Arabidopsis thaliana: one gene and its partner. The protein of the gene in region 2 interacts with the protein of the main gene of each other region in a pairwise test. Each region holds a gene or a part of one and is shown on either strand. Other genes may lie near its edges.

Region 1 (7,447 bases), on a different chromosome or scaffold from region 2:
ACGTAATAAATTGATCTTTCTTTAGATATAAGCTTATTTTTCAATTTAAAAACGGAGCTTTTGTATGTATTTTCTAAAATAATATAATGTTTGTCATATGATTGTAGTTGTCTAGGGACTAGGGGGTTTGGCAATTACTTGATTCTCCCGGAAGATCTTTTATAACTTTGCTTCTCTTTCTAACATTCTGGCTTCCTTTTTTGTTTTTGTTAGGTGAATTTGATAACGACCCCGAAAACAAAACCAAAATCATTATCACCGAGATTTCTTTTTATAAGCAAAATAATATGAAAATACTAAAATAAATGTTCCATCTAATACAGATTTGTGTCAAATGGATTTCCCGTATGATTCAATATATGATTTGACTTGGTATATGATCATTTTAATAGTTATCTGTGTAGGCCAAATCATTCTTCAGTCAAAACATGTACATATTTAGTCAAAATCTAGAACATAGAAAGGATTTATGTATATATTTAATATGTTTTCTCAAAGTTGCTATAACATTTTTGCGAATATACCTTAGGTTTGTAAGAATTATATGTCAAACGTAATTTTATGACTATATTGAAAGAATGTTTTCCAAGAACACTCCAATGCAAATTTTACCAGTGATGATAATTGTGAATGTGTCATAACATTTAAAACCTTTAAGAAACGTCTTTAAACTAAAAAAAAAAAAACTACTGTATTTGAAGTGATTTAATACAAATTGAGTATGATAATTGATAATGAAAAGATTCGAGATTGGACATATCAGTTGAATTTCAAAATTTAAGAATAGTTTTCAAATAGGAAACTGAAGTTACATTGGAGCGCGCATGTTGAAATTTCAGAAATCCACATGTTCTATGATCTCATGACTCGTTCATCTCATGATTTCAAGTTTCAGCTAAATTCAATGACTTTGGTATATGACACAAATGCGCTCCCAAATAATAGTATTGCTTATTAATTCAGAAATTTGGTCCTCTTGTTCCTCATAAAATACTTATATATAGAGAATCCACTATTACTTTGTTGCCTATACTTTCATTTGCACAAACACATTTACAAGTTAATATATAAAGAGATCTTTTTCTAAGGTTCTTCTTCGCATCCTTCTCGTTCCTTCAAATTTTTTTTGTAATTCATTCACTCTTTATAAATCTGAGATTTGATATATAATTTTATTATTGTTTAGTATTTTCTTTTTATTTTTCGTTTTTTGAATTAAAACATTGTTTTCAGTTTTGATGGTAGGGGTAATATTATTGGTCCACAGTCTATGTTTCCATGTGTGTGTGGATAAGATAGAAAGCAGAAGCAGTCAAATCTTTTATTCGGGTCCATTCTCTTAGGACACAAGGTTAGATCTCAACTTGTTTTGTTTTTTCTTTACTTGTTCACACACATAGATATTCGTCGTCTACAACTTGAACCTTTTATATCAACACCCTTACATTAAATTTCCGATTCTAATTTCTTCATCACATATGAGCTTGTAACTTTTTTTTGTAATTTTTGATTATTAAGATATAAATCAGTAAGAAGTTGACCATTTGAACTTGTCAATTTAATACTTAAGTTTCCCAAAAGCATATGTATATATTATAATCAACATTTGGGAGATCAATCGTAGGCTCCTAGCTAGAGTTATGTCTTTTTCGCTTCTACATATGATAGTACAAATTACACAGCATAATATCATAATGTAAAAAACTAACCAAAAGAAGAAAATATAATTTCACAAAATGGAAGCGAAAATATGTATCCAACGGTAACACATTAAACATCATCAAATATATAAGCAAGCCCAACTGTCTCATTCTTTCATGAAAAAATATGTACATGCAAATAAGAGAGACAAAATAAGATCTTAAGTTACATATAAGTTTTTTTTTTCTCTACCTCTCTCTCTCAATATATATAATATATGTAGTTATAACAATGATCGATCAAGGCTCTTGCTTAAAGAAAATTGAAGGAAAAATCTCCCTCAAGAGCTCATACTCACCCCCTTGATGATACACTTGGTGAGAACTAGGGTTTGAATTCACACTACCATAACCACTTTGTCCATATCCATAATCCAAAGCCGCCGCCACAGAACCGCCGTTAGTATAAGCTGCCGTCCTAAACATATCATGTGCAAAGCTTCTTGGAGTCATGAGGTCTGCGGAGAACATAGCAGCCGCGGCAGAACTTCCTCGAAGATTAGTCGGAATCGGGTGGTTGTGTTGACCCTCGTAAGTTGTAATCACAACCGTTGGATCTTGGAACGATCTCTCCACTCGTTTCTTCACGTTGCACTTTTGTGTTGTACATCTATAGTAACTCCTATTTTCGTTTCCATTGGCTATTATCAGTTACACTATAATGGTCGCATTTTTCTAAACACAAATTTTCACAAGCCTAGCAATTTCAAAAAATAAAAAGGGAAAGTTTAGTTACCTTGGATAAGGGCTATTTTTTACAGCCTTTTGGCCGTATTTTCTCCATCTATAACCATCTTCAAGATGATCAACTTCACTTTTAGTCATAAACGAGACTCGTGGCTCTCTTTGTTTCTTCACCTCAGTCTTTTTCGTTTTCCCACTGAAAAATAATACACTATAAAATTAATACACATGCTAGACTAAATTCCTAAACGAAGAGATCAAATGATGTTCAATGTTTTGCATAAAAGTTCCTATAGAGTTATGACTTACACTTTTTTGGAAATTTGATCTTCTTCACCGACTAACTCTCGTTTCCTCCGGCTCTTACCGGAATCTTCACCGGGGTGATCAGCCTCACTAGAGGAAGAATTAGAAGGAGAAACCCTAGTTTCAGTCTCGTTGCATGCACCACCATTGATTACGTCATTAGTAACATCACGGTTCGGTTCTTGATCGATCGAAGAATTGAAAACCTCTGAGGAAGAGGGAGAAAGACCAAAAGTTTTCTGAAGTAGAGATTCATACGCTGCTGGAGAACTTTGGAGACAATCGGTGAAGGAATAAGTAGATGGATTAAAACCGTTTTGTGATGGGAGGTTTCCATAAGAAGATGGATTTGAAGTAGGCAGATTCATCATTTCGTGCAACGAAAACGATGAAGGGTATTGGTAGTTGTAGAGATCTCTGGTTTCATTAGACATGGTGAAGAACAATGAAGAGAGAGGTAAAAAAAGAGTAAAGAAGACAAAGAAGAAGAGATGAGATAAGCCTTTTAGGTTTGGGGATTAGGTTTTTAGGTTTTTTTCCTAAGAGGTCTAGATTGGTGCTTGGACTTTAATTTGGTCTTCGTCTCTCGTTCTCGTATTTATGCATTTTGAAACTCAAAAAAGGAAGAGAGAGAAGAATAATATGATTTTGGCTACTTGGTTTGGAAATAAGTTAATTAAGTAAAAGTGTATTGAGATATAATTCAATGGTACGTGTGTGAATCCAAAGTCGTGTTAATACTTTTATTTTTCTATCAACTTTGTTTTTTCTTGTTTCTTAACTAATCTCAATTTAAGTTGTGTAATTTTTTCCTATGCAAATTAATTTATATGTTAAAAGCTTTCATAATATTTCTTCCTCACGTTATTTTATCAGTATAATTTTGAATTCATATACAAAAAGGTTCAAATAAGTCTTTTTAATGTTTATCAGTCAAATGTACATAAAGTTAATTATAAATTAATAATGTGAACGATAAGCAACTTAATAGATAGGTATATATATATATATATATATTCAAGAAATAAGATATAGAAGTAGATGATAATTTTATTTGTGATATCATGTTATGCCTTTTGAATGACTTTTTGGTTTCGGGCAATAAGAACTTTACGTAAAGCTAAGTTGACAAAAATAGAGCTGCAAAACTGGCTTCTAGTGAGGAAACATACTTAAGCTTCTATATTTTTAATTCAGAATATGCTTACTTGCAAGTATTTCTATACCACTAAATACATTTCTTCGAGTCTTTGCATTGTATCTTCGTATAAATTTCCTAAAATTCTACTTTTATTTTTCCACATTTGATAAACATGCATAAATTTTGGGTTATTTTTGTGTGCTGCCTTTTTTATGGGGCCAAAAAGTAGGACATGAAAAGTTCTCACCTTCATTTTCTTCCCCACTCTATACGTGGCATATATAGTGGACGGGCTTGATAACACGCGCTACGACTAAACGGCGCGTGGAAGAAGACGACGTTATTGAAGGAGTCTTAGTCAGCGAAGACTATGTGTTACCGGAAACCGGAAACACTCAGTCACCGGCCGGTCGTTTGGTGTGAAGAATGCAGTAAGAGGCAGTCAAAGATTCAAAGGGAAAAAAGTTTACGAAAACAAAAGATTATATTTTGGGAGTATTAGGCTGCCACGTGGAAACACTTGCACCGGCATTTGACCGTCGCCGACACATGACCTGGCACGTGCTAGAGACTGTCTTCTCTTCTTCTTCTTCTTTTTCCCTCACTGTTTCACGAACCTTAATAATTATTCATAGGTAATTCCTAGTCAAGAAGCAATAATTTAGACCCTACATATTTTGGTTATAAAATATGAATATATGAATCTCTTGATATTCAAATTATTTTCATGTTTTTAGTGTAAGATTTGACCCAAAGAATCATACATTGCTAATAATTTGCTATAACATTCAAAGAAAATTAGTTACTATGGGACTTTAAGTGACGTAGCTATGTGGAGTGGATCGTTACTTATGCTGACGGATAAGTGAGATCATGATTACGCAATAACAATTTCTTTTTCACATTAGAACTTTCTGTTTGCAAGTAAAAGAGCATCTTAATTTATTAACTTATATTAAGGAAAAGATGGTCAAACCAAAAGTATCTATATTATGAAAATGTTAACATTATGATAATTACGATAAACCCTTTATATACAATTTTATTTGCGATAATTGTGGGGAATTAAAGTTGCATGTTATGAACCCTATGCTTGATTTATATAGCTAGTAATCGTTTTCATGAGTTTGTAGAAATTGATAGGAGCATATGATCAGGAAAAAAGGAGACATATAATGCCTAACCGACATGACAAATGCGAAGGGGACATACATCAACTTTAAATGTGGTCAAAGTGATATATTTACTACTATGAAAAATCACTAAAATATGGCAAGATAAAAACAAATACTAGCATCTTGGAAGAAATCGGTTTAATCACTAAAAATTTGATATGTCATGGTCTTTTGGTCACAATCCATTTTTTTGGTAGGTGAAGGATTCAACTCTTTTTTTTTTTTTGGTCACACCTAAGTTTTTGGATTACAAATTATCGTGAATTACGTATGATGATCTTAATGCGTTTAATAATCACTGCTATATTACCTAGCATATTACGGATAGCGCGAGAATACATACATATATATAGTCAGTGTCTCAGTGATACTCAGTATAAAATATTGGAATGAATCAAAATACTATGGCTTTGGTATATAAAAATTTGATCAATGAAAGAAGGGCATAATAATTTCCATGTTTTTAACGCTTTTTGGTCAAAACAAACTACGATGAAAAACGTTTTCGAGAAAATCAATACCAATCTAGTAATCTTTGGTCGAAATAATTAAGAAGACCGAATAATTCTCTTTGAACCAAAAGAGACATTAACCATTCACATTTGACCAAGAACATCAAGGCGTATACATACTTTAATTTGGGAAAGAGAAACAGCAACTCTTATCAGATTCCATATGAGTAATAGAATAATCTCTAAACCAAAAAAAATTCAATCTTCGAAGTCAAATATATATTCAATCTTCTATTGCATACTATAATAATGCCATAATGGTGGTATATGAATCTGTTTCTCGTACCTAACCACATTAATGCATACTAAGATATATATTAATACACATTTATAGTTTTAATTTAGGCAGAAACTAAACGCCGTAATTGGTGCCTAATCGTTTGCGTTGTCTTATCCATAAGCCCCACATTTAAATTACCCAAAGTTAGACCGTGGACCTCTATGTAATTTGTAACCTGTAAGTGAAAAAAAAACATTAGCTTACAATTACACGTATACATAACTGTATCTGTCTGCAGTTGAAATGTCTGACCTATTTTTGGGGATTTGTGCCTAACATATAAAGATATTATTATGAAATTTATTTCTACTTTCTAGTAAACACATAATTATTACATTATTTAAGTTTCAATTTAACGTAAAGAAGAATAAAAAGAAAGAGAGTGAAATTGTTGACTTTAGCTTTGGAATAGAATAGTTGGGGCAGGTTTGTTGTTAGGTTTGTCATGTGTGACATTTTTATCATTATTATTCATGTTAGTATATATAAAATATATATGAATAAAAAGGAATCTCTTGTATTTTCTGTTCTTTCACACACGTTATCCTCTTTCTGAAATTTGAGTTGTTACAGCTGATTAATTTAATATATATGATATTTGTGTATAGATTATCAAGAATAAGAAAATGCATTTAAAAACAAATAACCGAAAAGACTAAATTTTTCATTAATTGGTATTGATATTAGGACATCAATATGTTGAGTAACTATACATGGTCGATTACATTACAATGCGAATTGAAATTCTCTTTAACTGGAAAAGAACTAATATGAAAAAGCTGATGATGTATCAGTAAAACTCTTTTAAAACTGTTGATAAGAAATTCGAATTTACATATTTTAGATTGGAACTTGAAAGTTACAGTTTTATTTGCATACTGGACCAACAAATTTGGATCAAACCTTATCCAACCAAATTTATATACCTTGAGGCTTGAGCCCATATATCTGCAAAAATTACAGGGGGTCATCAAAATCTCATCGTACCAGAGTAAACCGATCACATAACCATTTGGCAACACATCAAACCGGTTAAGATAAAATCCCACAATTCCTCTTCATAATCTTGGGTGAGAAAGGAGAGGATAACTTTTGGTGATGTGAATCAGTGAATCCTGCTTAACCAATTATGCAAGACAAGACCAAAGACATAATATCGGTCCAAACCAGTTTACATAAACTGGAGACTGGACTCCTCATCATCACCATTAGCATCATTAGGATCGTTGATCCGTTGTAATTAGTAACTGTAATTCTAAGCTAAAACAAAAAGTTGCAGAGGATTGATCAATCGCCACTGCCACCTTCCAAGAGATCTAAAAGAGTGATCTTTCCGTTGCTGCATCGGTCGAGTTTGTCAAACTGTTTGGAGATTGGTAGTATGTCCTTATCGGTTATTTTCTCCATCTCCTTCAGTTTGTATATCACATACTCTGCTTTACTGCAAAAACAAAGAAAAAAACCAGAAGATATCTCAGGTTTGAGTGAGTATACAAGCAAAGCATTTCTCTGTGTTAAATCCGAAAATGCGTCTAAGCCTCCCTTTCATGGTCATTCAAACTTTATATCAAGCCGAAAACATACAATGACACGATGCTTTCGCATCACACATTCACAGATCTTCAACTTAGCCTAAGACCACAAACTAT
Region 2 (7,447 bases):
TTAGTAAGATGAGGGAACGAGTAGCCGTCAACCACCGGAACCTAAGATGTGAGGCGAAGACGGTTAACTTCTCTATTATAAGCAATATATGATCTAAAAAATTACAGAGGTTTATAGCTTACCACATGAGTAACACCATCACCAGAATCAATAACCAAACCAGTTAGCAAACCTGAAACCAAGAGTTCAACACATGAAGAAAAATATCAGGGAAGCACACATAAATGCTATTTACAGGTGACTATCTAAACACACGAAAGAAAATCTAAACCTTCAATAGTCTCCATAAGCACCTTGAGCATAGAGAGTCAAAACGGCTTGGATTTGAATGAAAACGCCAGCGAAATTGTATTTCTCAAACATTGTCTCAATCTGTTTTATAACATAAAATAAATCACTGCTCCAACAACCATCAAAGCAACTCTTAACCAAAGACTTGATAATATCTTACCATTTTTTCACGATTCTTGGACGGATTAAGAGGTGGATCCGTGAGCAATATCTTACAGTCAGATGGATTGATCTGTTAATAACAAAAAGGGTTTAAGAGTAAGTCAAGACACATGGAACCGAGACAAAAATGGCAAGAAGAAGCAGGAGAAGAAACTTACTTTCAATTCGTTATAGAAAGCATGATCCCAAACATGTTCCATATCATCCCAATTCTGCACAATACCATTGTGGACAGGATAATTTATATCCAATTGATGCCGGAGCTCAGAGCAAGTCTCCCCAACAACTATATCCTAAAATGAAACAAAACCAAAACGTATATGAATCCGAATTACGCATATCAGCTCAGTCAAAACTCAAAAGGCTAACAATGATCTGGTTTTGCTTATTTAAAGTCACATATCTACAAACCTTGACTTGTTGCTCCATGAGTGATTCTTCATACCGAAGCAATGGCCTTCCCACGACACAGGGGAAAACAGACGTTGGGAAATTCTCTCCAGCAAATCCACATTTTACATACTGAAAAATTTAATAAGAGGCTCACAATTTGTTCCCATCACAAGAAACTCAAAACTTAAGCAACCCATTATGAGATTTCTCATGTATTAGTTTTGATTTCAATAGAAACACGATCTTACACTATGCTAAGACATGAAAGTTTTCAAATTTTGCAACTTTAAGACAACTAGATCCTAAACAAACTCAAAAGTGAGATTTTTAACGAAACCCAGATAGGAATGGAATGATTGATCAGATTCAACTAAAGTTCGGAGTCTGAAACAAGAGATATCAGAGAGAAGAAGCTTACACCGGTGCCGTTGTCGCAAACGACGACGTTTTTGTTGTCCATCTTCTCCGATTTCTATAGAGACTACAGATTTTTATCGAAGTACAAAAATTTCGATTTCTTCGATTCGATCTCTCAGGGAACAAAAGAAAAAACCTGTCTTTGAATCGAAGCGAAGAATCACTCTTCTCTACTTGTTTGGTCGCGATCGAGAAAACATATTTGCTCTTCGACAAACAAAAAGCAGCTGTTTCCTCGTTTCTTTATAAGAATGCGCGTCGTTTACTCTACGTGAAAACGTCACGTAGTGCAAACGGTCAATACATAGAAAAAATTATTAAATACGTTACCCCTTTTCTCGAATTATTGAGATGGAGTTAACTTGGTTGTGGGTATTGATGGGCTATCTCAGGCCCATATTAGGTCAAACAGATAATTCTGTTTACTTGTATAACAATCTTCTAGATGATCTAAACTAAGAATTAGTAAATGATCATCATGCAATCCCTTGATCAGAGATTTCAATCACTATTAGGGTTATGTTACGAGAAAGATGTTACTAGGGTTTTGGTACGAAGTTGGGATATCAATCTTCTTCTAGGTTTTTTTGTTGTCTCTATGTTGTCTCAATACTAAAATTTATTCTACATAACATGTTGTAAATTAAGTTCCTGTCACAACATGTTATGTATCAGTCACCAATATAGTAAAAATAAGATAAGACTTTTACAGTTTCACACACACAAGTCCAATGACTTGTTCGATGTAAAATCAGCTTTCATGTTTTCACTTTTATATAGGTTAATTAGGACACACACTGTCTCTCATGCTTACTGGAACATTGCTAAGCTGCTTTATTTAGTTCTGGTAAGAACAAAACTGCATGTCTTAGACCTCAAAGTAACCACGCGTTTCATCTTCACTTCTGTATATTGAAATGGAAGAATTCGTAGACAAGTCAAGCTCCTTGCCCAATGTGTCGAAGAGAATGGAAATTAAAAGAGTAAGCAACTTAAGTCACGCTCTCATCATGAGGGAGGCTTTGGAATGGATCTATTGGAGTTGTATTTGGACCATAGTGTTGAGTTAGATCATTGCTCAAAAGGGAAAGAGAGAGCTTTGTGAATGTTTTTGAATTTTCTTCACTTGTTTTGATTGGTTGGACAAATCATAGAGATCAAGCAACTTTTTGACTCGTTAACCTCTCTCTCTCTCTCTCTCTTAGTCTCTTTCCTTAGTTCCGTCAAATTCAAGTCAAAATGAGTAAAATGATATAAACTTTTTGACTCGTTGAACAATTTATACTTATCTTTGAAAAAGCTTGCAAGGCAAAGAGTAAATGCAATACCAGCTTATTTGGTTCCCAACTGCGAAGGGTTTGTACCTAGTTCAAAACCTTCCCACAGTTAACGGCACACTCAGGGCAATAACATGAATGTAAGTAAGAGTTAAAGAATACAACGTTACCATCATTGTGAAATCCATTGCAGCTCAAAGCCACTGAATCAGAACATGCAGCGAAGTGTTTTACACTCGACTCTAAACGAAAGTCTTTAACTCATTCAGAGAGATCGAACGAAAGAGAACAATCTTTGGAGATGCAATAGAAGAATACTGAGCAAAAGAGAGCTATAAATCTTCATTCTACAAATATGTGATGGAAGACAAGTATACATTACCATTGTTGTACTATCTGAAAAAAGCCGGTTTCTTGATATTCAAAAGCAACAAAACTCAGAACAAGTAAAAACAAGCCTCTCTGCAACTTAAAGACTCCAAACAAAAAAATCTCTGGCTGTGTGTATTCAACAAACTCCACCTGCAAGTTCAAACAACAACTGCCAAAAAATTGTCACAAACACTCGGAAAAAAAGGTTTGAAGATTCCACTCTCTTGTATCATCATCCTCAAATTGAACTCACCTTGTGTTTTTGCAGAGGTTTCAATAAGTATAGATTATCACTCTCACTCAGTATATAACCTTTTCTTTTTCTTCTCCATGGTGGTACAAATTACAACAATATTATCACAAAACAAAAGCCAAAAGCTTTTTCAAATCCAGAAGATACAAAAAAAAACCCAATCCTTTTAACGACCTGAGCCTTGAGAATCATCTTTCTCACCACTCTCTTGCTGATGTTCTTCATGGTTATGATGCATATGGTGAAGAACCCTACCTTGAGCTTGAGCCTGAGCCTGACCCATCTGTTGATAAATCTGAGTAAAAGACTGAGGATTCAAAACACCAACATTCCCTTCTTGAGACAAGCCTAACTCAAGTCCAGGCATCTGATTATGATTCCCACCCAAAATAGATGCAAAACTCATATGACCAACACCAGGAAAATCAAAACCAGGAAACCCAATTCTATAACCAGCTCCTTCACTCATTAAACCAGTGGTTGGCACACCAGAACCAAACCCAGCTACATTTGGCCATAACCCAGTTGGTAAACTTGACCTAGAAACTCCTTCACCGCCACCAATCCCCCAATTTAATGGTCTACCACTACTACTAGACCCACCATCTAAGTCATGACTGATCATTAAACCAGCAGTAAGAGACCCACCTTGATGATGGTTAGAGGTTGCAGCTGAAGAAGCTAAAGCAGAGGCCGGTATAGTTCCTGAACCAGTAGCTGCAATAATCGATGGCTCAGCTTGTTGAAGCAGCCACTGGATAGTTTCACCATCAGATTTATGACCCAATTCTCTAGTCAATTGAAAAATCCTAGCAGCACAAAGAGCAGGCATCCGAATTCGTCGACCTCTACCTTCGACTTTAGTGTGTCTGTCTTTGTTAGAGCTTCTCTTAGGACCAAGCTGGTTCTGATTCTGACTCTTCTTGTTTGGTTCTTTGTCGGAAGCAGAGACCACGATCTGGAAATCTTTAATCTCAGTTGTTGGTTTGCGATTCTCGTCGGAAACAACAGCAGAAGCAGCATCATCATCTACCAAACCCTGATTTCGCGGTGGTGGTGGTGGGTTCAAGAAATTTGGTACTTGGTGACGATTTAGGTTCTTGGGATCCATCGAAGCTTGCTTGTGTGGGGACTTCAGGGTCCAGAGACTTAATTTAATCAAAAATTCTCTTGGATTCAATTAAGGGTTTCAGAATTGTGACGACTTTGTAAAACAAAAGGTATCGAGTTTTTTTTTTTTTCTTTGGGAATTTACGAATTTAATGTTTAAAAAAAAACCCAGTAAGATCCCGATGTAGAATTTGAGGAGAATAAAGAAAAAATGTTTCTTTTGATCTCGAAATTGGTCAAAAAAGAAATGAGAAAACACTTTAAAAGTATGAGACTTTAGTTTTGTCTTTTTCTTTTTTATTCTTGTTTACTTTTTGGTTTGGTACTTTAAATAACAGAGAGAGATAGCGAGTGAGTGAGTCTCATAGGTTTCTCACCAAACAATGCAATTTTTAAGACCATAAACAGCAAAGTAACAAAACGACACATAAAAGAAAAAGTAGTGTGACCGTTTCACTTTCACATTTAATCCAAAGGTAATTGAGAGTCTAACAACTGCCACTTCATTTCCCACTAGATACACAGTGACGGATCTAAAATCTATTTTTACATGGGGCATAATTATATGTGGAAATCAGGTTTCAAGTTAGATTTACCTGAATTTTATGGTACTTTACAAACAGAAGAGTTCCTAGATTGGATTAGCACGACGGAAGAGTTGTTAACATTCAAAAATGTCCCTCATGAGATGAGAGTTCCTCTTGCTGCAACACATTTTAAAGATCGTGCTTTAGCCTGATGGTAACAATCCAATAACAGTTGATATATTCAAAAAAATCTCAATAATTACTTTTTAAAGTTTGTAAATTATTATTATTAAATAATTACAATGTGTAGAAAATTAATCCCTTTAGAACATAATTTTTTTTCAGAAAATCAATATTTTAGAAAAAGAGTAAGTACTATTGAATACATTGTTGCTTCGTATATATCTCTCATTCTGTCCTAAACGAAAAAAAAAAAAAAAACTACAACAGTAGTCAAAGTCAACGTCTTCCCTAAGAAGGAAGTACTTTTAGCTAGTCCATCAAGTGGACCAATGACATGTTGACAATTAGCCGGTCCACACAGGGTTTGGTTCGCTTGTAGGGCAAGATCTAAAGGTATTGAATGAGTTTGAGAGTTTCATCATTTATGGACCGACAACATTATACCATCTCTCTTTTTTTTTTACTCATTTCATCATAACTACTCATAAGTCTTAGACTTCAATTAATCTTAATGAGTTAACTACTCTCTAGCTTTACTTAAAGGCATTAGTCTTATATTAATGACGCCCATAATCACGTTTAAATATCATACACTAACACATGTCCAGTCGTCGTCGATTGATTTCCTGCTTTAGTAATTGTGTGTCAACATTTACAGTTCATTTGTTCAAAAGAAATAAAAAAAAGTTTATAGAATTATAATAGTTAAAACATTCAGTTTTTGCAACTTTGCAAAAATAAAAGAATAAAAAACAAAGTAACAATATTGAAGACATCACATAAGTGTGATCATCTAATTCAAAGTTGCATTATACGTTTCAAAAATGATTTACTTGTCATCGTGAAGAGATTGTGTTGCGGATCTCACAATCAATGAACTTGAAAGTGGTGAGGTGAGGTAGAGTCGTAGAGACATTTAGTTTTGAAGGATATTGTTCATTCGCGATCTAAATGTGATAAAGTGTAGCTTGAGCTACCAACTTCCTTAATAGAGACGTCGTTAAAAAAGTTAGTTTGCTTCCAAAACTCAAAACTGTCCTTCCATTTGCTTTCATCTCTTGGTTGGCAATCAAGGATAGACTCTCAATGGAAACTAGAACGCGTCAATAGGGTTGTGTTCAGTCAAGCAGAAAAGCTGCGTGACCACCTATTTTTTGCTTGCCCATATTTGTTTATGGTTTGGTTAAATATTGTGGACGATCTTCTGCAAACATTTTGTAAAACTTGAATACAATCAATGCATTTAATTTTCAATTTCAAAATCACAGTATTCTATTTGTTTAATTATATAGAAATGATGTTTTCATCTAACAAAATGAATAAAATGGACACACATTGTTACAAGATAATCTGTATCCATTTAATTCAACCTGTCCATATCCTTCATTTATGTTTACCCTCACCATTATTTTCATTTAAAATTGTTTTTTTCTCAATGATTTTTAAGAGTTTGTGCCACGATTATCTCCACCAATCGTGCCCCAATTATGGTAAATTGTGATTGGAGTGTCATCATTACAAATTTACAGTTGCTTAGCAGTTTTTAAGATTAATAATTCCACTACGCCAACCTTTCAATGTATTTAACACATTGAGATAACCTTATTTAACTTCTTTAATGAAATTGTTCTTCATATCTTCTTATTTTAGTCTAACAACTATATAAAACCAGAATTTCACATATATCAACTTTACCATACATTTGATGATCACATCATTGGACTTAACTTATTTTACGAGAGTGGCATGCATCATAGTATATATTAAATTTAAAACATTTACTTGCATGATAAGTTGTAGTAGTTTTAAACTTGGTAATTTTAAACTATCAATATGAGGCTAATTGGAATCGTTTCAGTACATTATTTCATCTGCATTCACTCCTTATGATGATTGAACAAGGCAAATGTTCGTAAAACTCTTTGAGCTTGTGAATGAAAGCATTCAAGGAGACAACATCCCGGGGACATACAACAACATTGACTAAAACATTTGAAGAGATTTGCAACAACATTTTGTTCTTGCGAGCTGAGATACTAAACATATCTACACAACATATGAAGACAACTGTTTCGATTCTGACGGCCACAAGACTCTCGGATAAGTTTCCTTTTGTATGACTCACAGTTGCGGTTGCGATTATGACCACAGTGGCATCTCTATCTTGCTGAGGACGGTCCAAAGTACATACAAATGGGAGGGTTGATCCTTAAGATTGAAAGGATTGCGGATGGTATAGTCCAGATCCCATCACCACAGATCAGTCCTGATGCTACTGCACCTGCAAAGTCCTCTGCATCTTTCCTGTTGATCCGTTCCCATACGAACAATATCACAGTCCCAACAAACATGTCAATGGCGAAGTAAGCTCCAATGTAGAATGGGACAGCCATTGCCATTGGGATCGGGATGAACTGAGAGATCTTAGGCGGTGTAATATCTCTTAAGAGATTCACAATCAA

What was found.
Region 1: the proteins of TCP20 (region 2) and WRKY28 interact in a protein complementation assay, tested with the Arabidopsis thaliana proteins (one study listed by BioGRID).

What each region holds. Positions count from the first base shown.
Region 1 is NC_003075.7:10,057,185-10,064,631, reverse strand, and holds WRKY28 (WRKY DNA-binding protein 28), read right to left. Parts: upstream 3,419-7,447; 5' UTR 3,125-3,418; coding exon 2,694-3,124; intron 2,581-2,693; coding exon 2,437-2,580; intron 2,323-2,436; coding exon 1,941-2,322; 3' UTR 1,739-1,940; downstream 1-1,738. Other genes in the region: KCO6 (Ca2+ activated outward rectifying K+ channel 6), read right to left, coding at 7,086-7,239. UniProt on the Arabidopsis thaliana protein: Transcription factor. Interacts specifically with the W box (5'-(T)TGAC[CT]-3'), a frequently occurring elicitor-responsive cis-acting element.
Region 2 is NC_003074.8:9,954,479-9,961,925, forward strand, and holds TCP20 (TEOSINTE BRANCHED 1, cycloidea, PCF (TCP)-domain family protein 20), read right to left. Parts: upstream 4,468-7,447; 5' UTR 4,277-4,467; coding exon 3,332-4,276; 3' UTR 3,166-3,331; intron 3,082-3,165; exon of another isoform or gene 3,063-3,081; 3' UTR 2,898-3,062; downstream 1-2,897. Other genes in the region: ARP2 (actin related protein 2), read right to left, coding at 1-41, 123-172, 294-372, 452-523, 612-746, 865-975, 1,265-1,306; YSL6 (YELLOW STRIPE like 6), read right to left, coding at 7,145-7,447. UniProt on the Arabidopsis thaliana protein: Transcription factor that binds to the site II motif (3'-TGGGCC/T-5') in the promoter of PCNA-2 and to 3'-GCCCG/A-5' elements in the promoters of cyclin CYCB1-1 and ribosomal protein genes.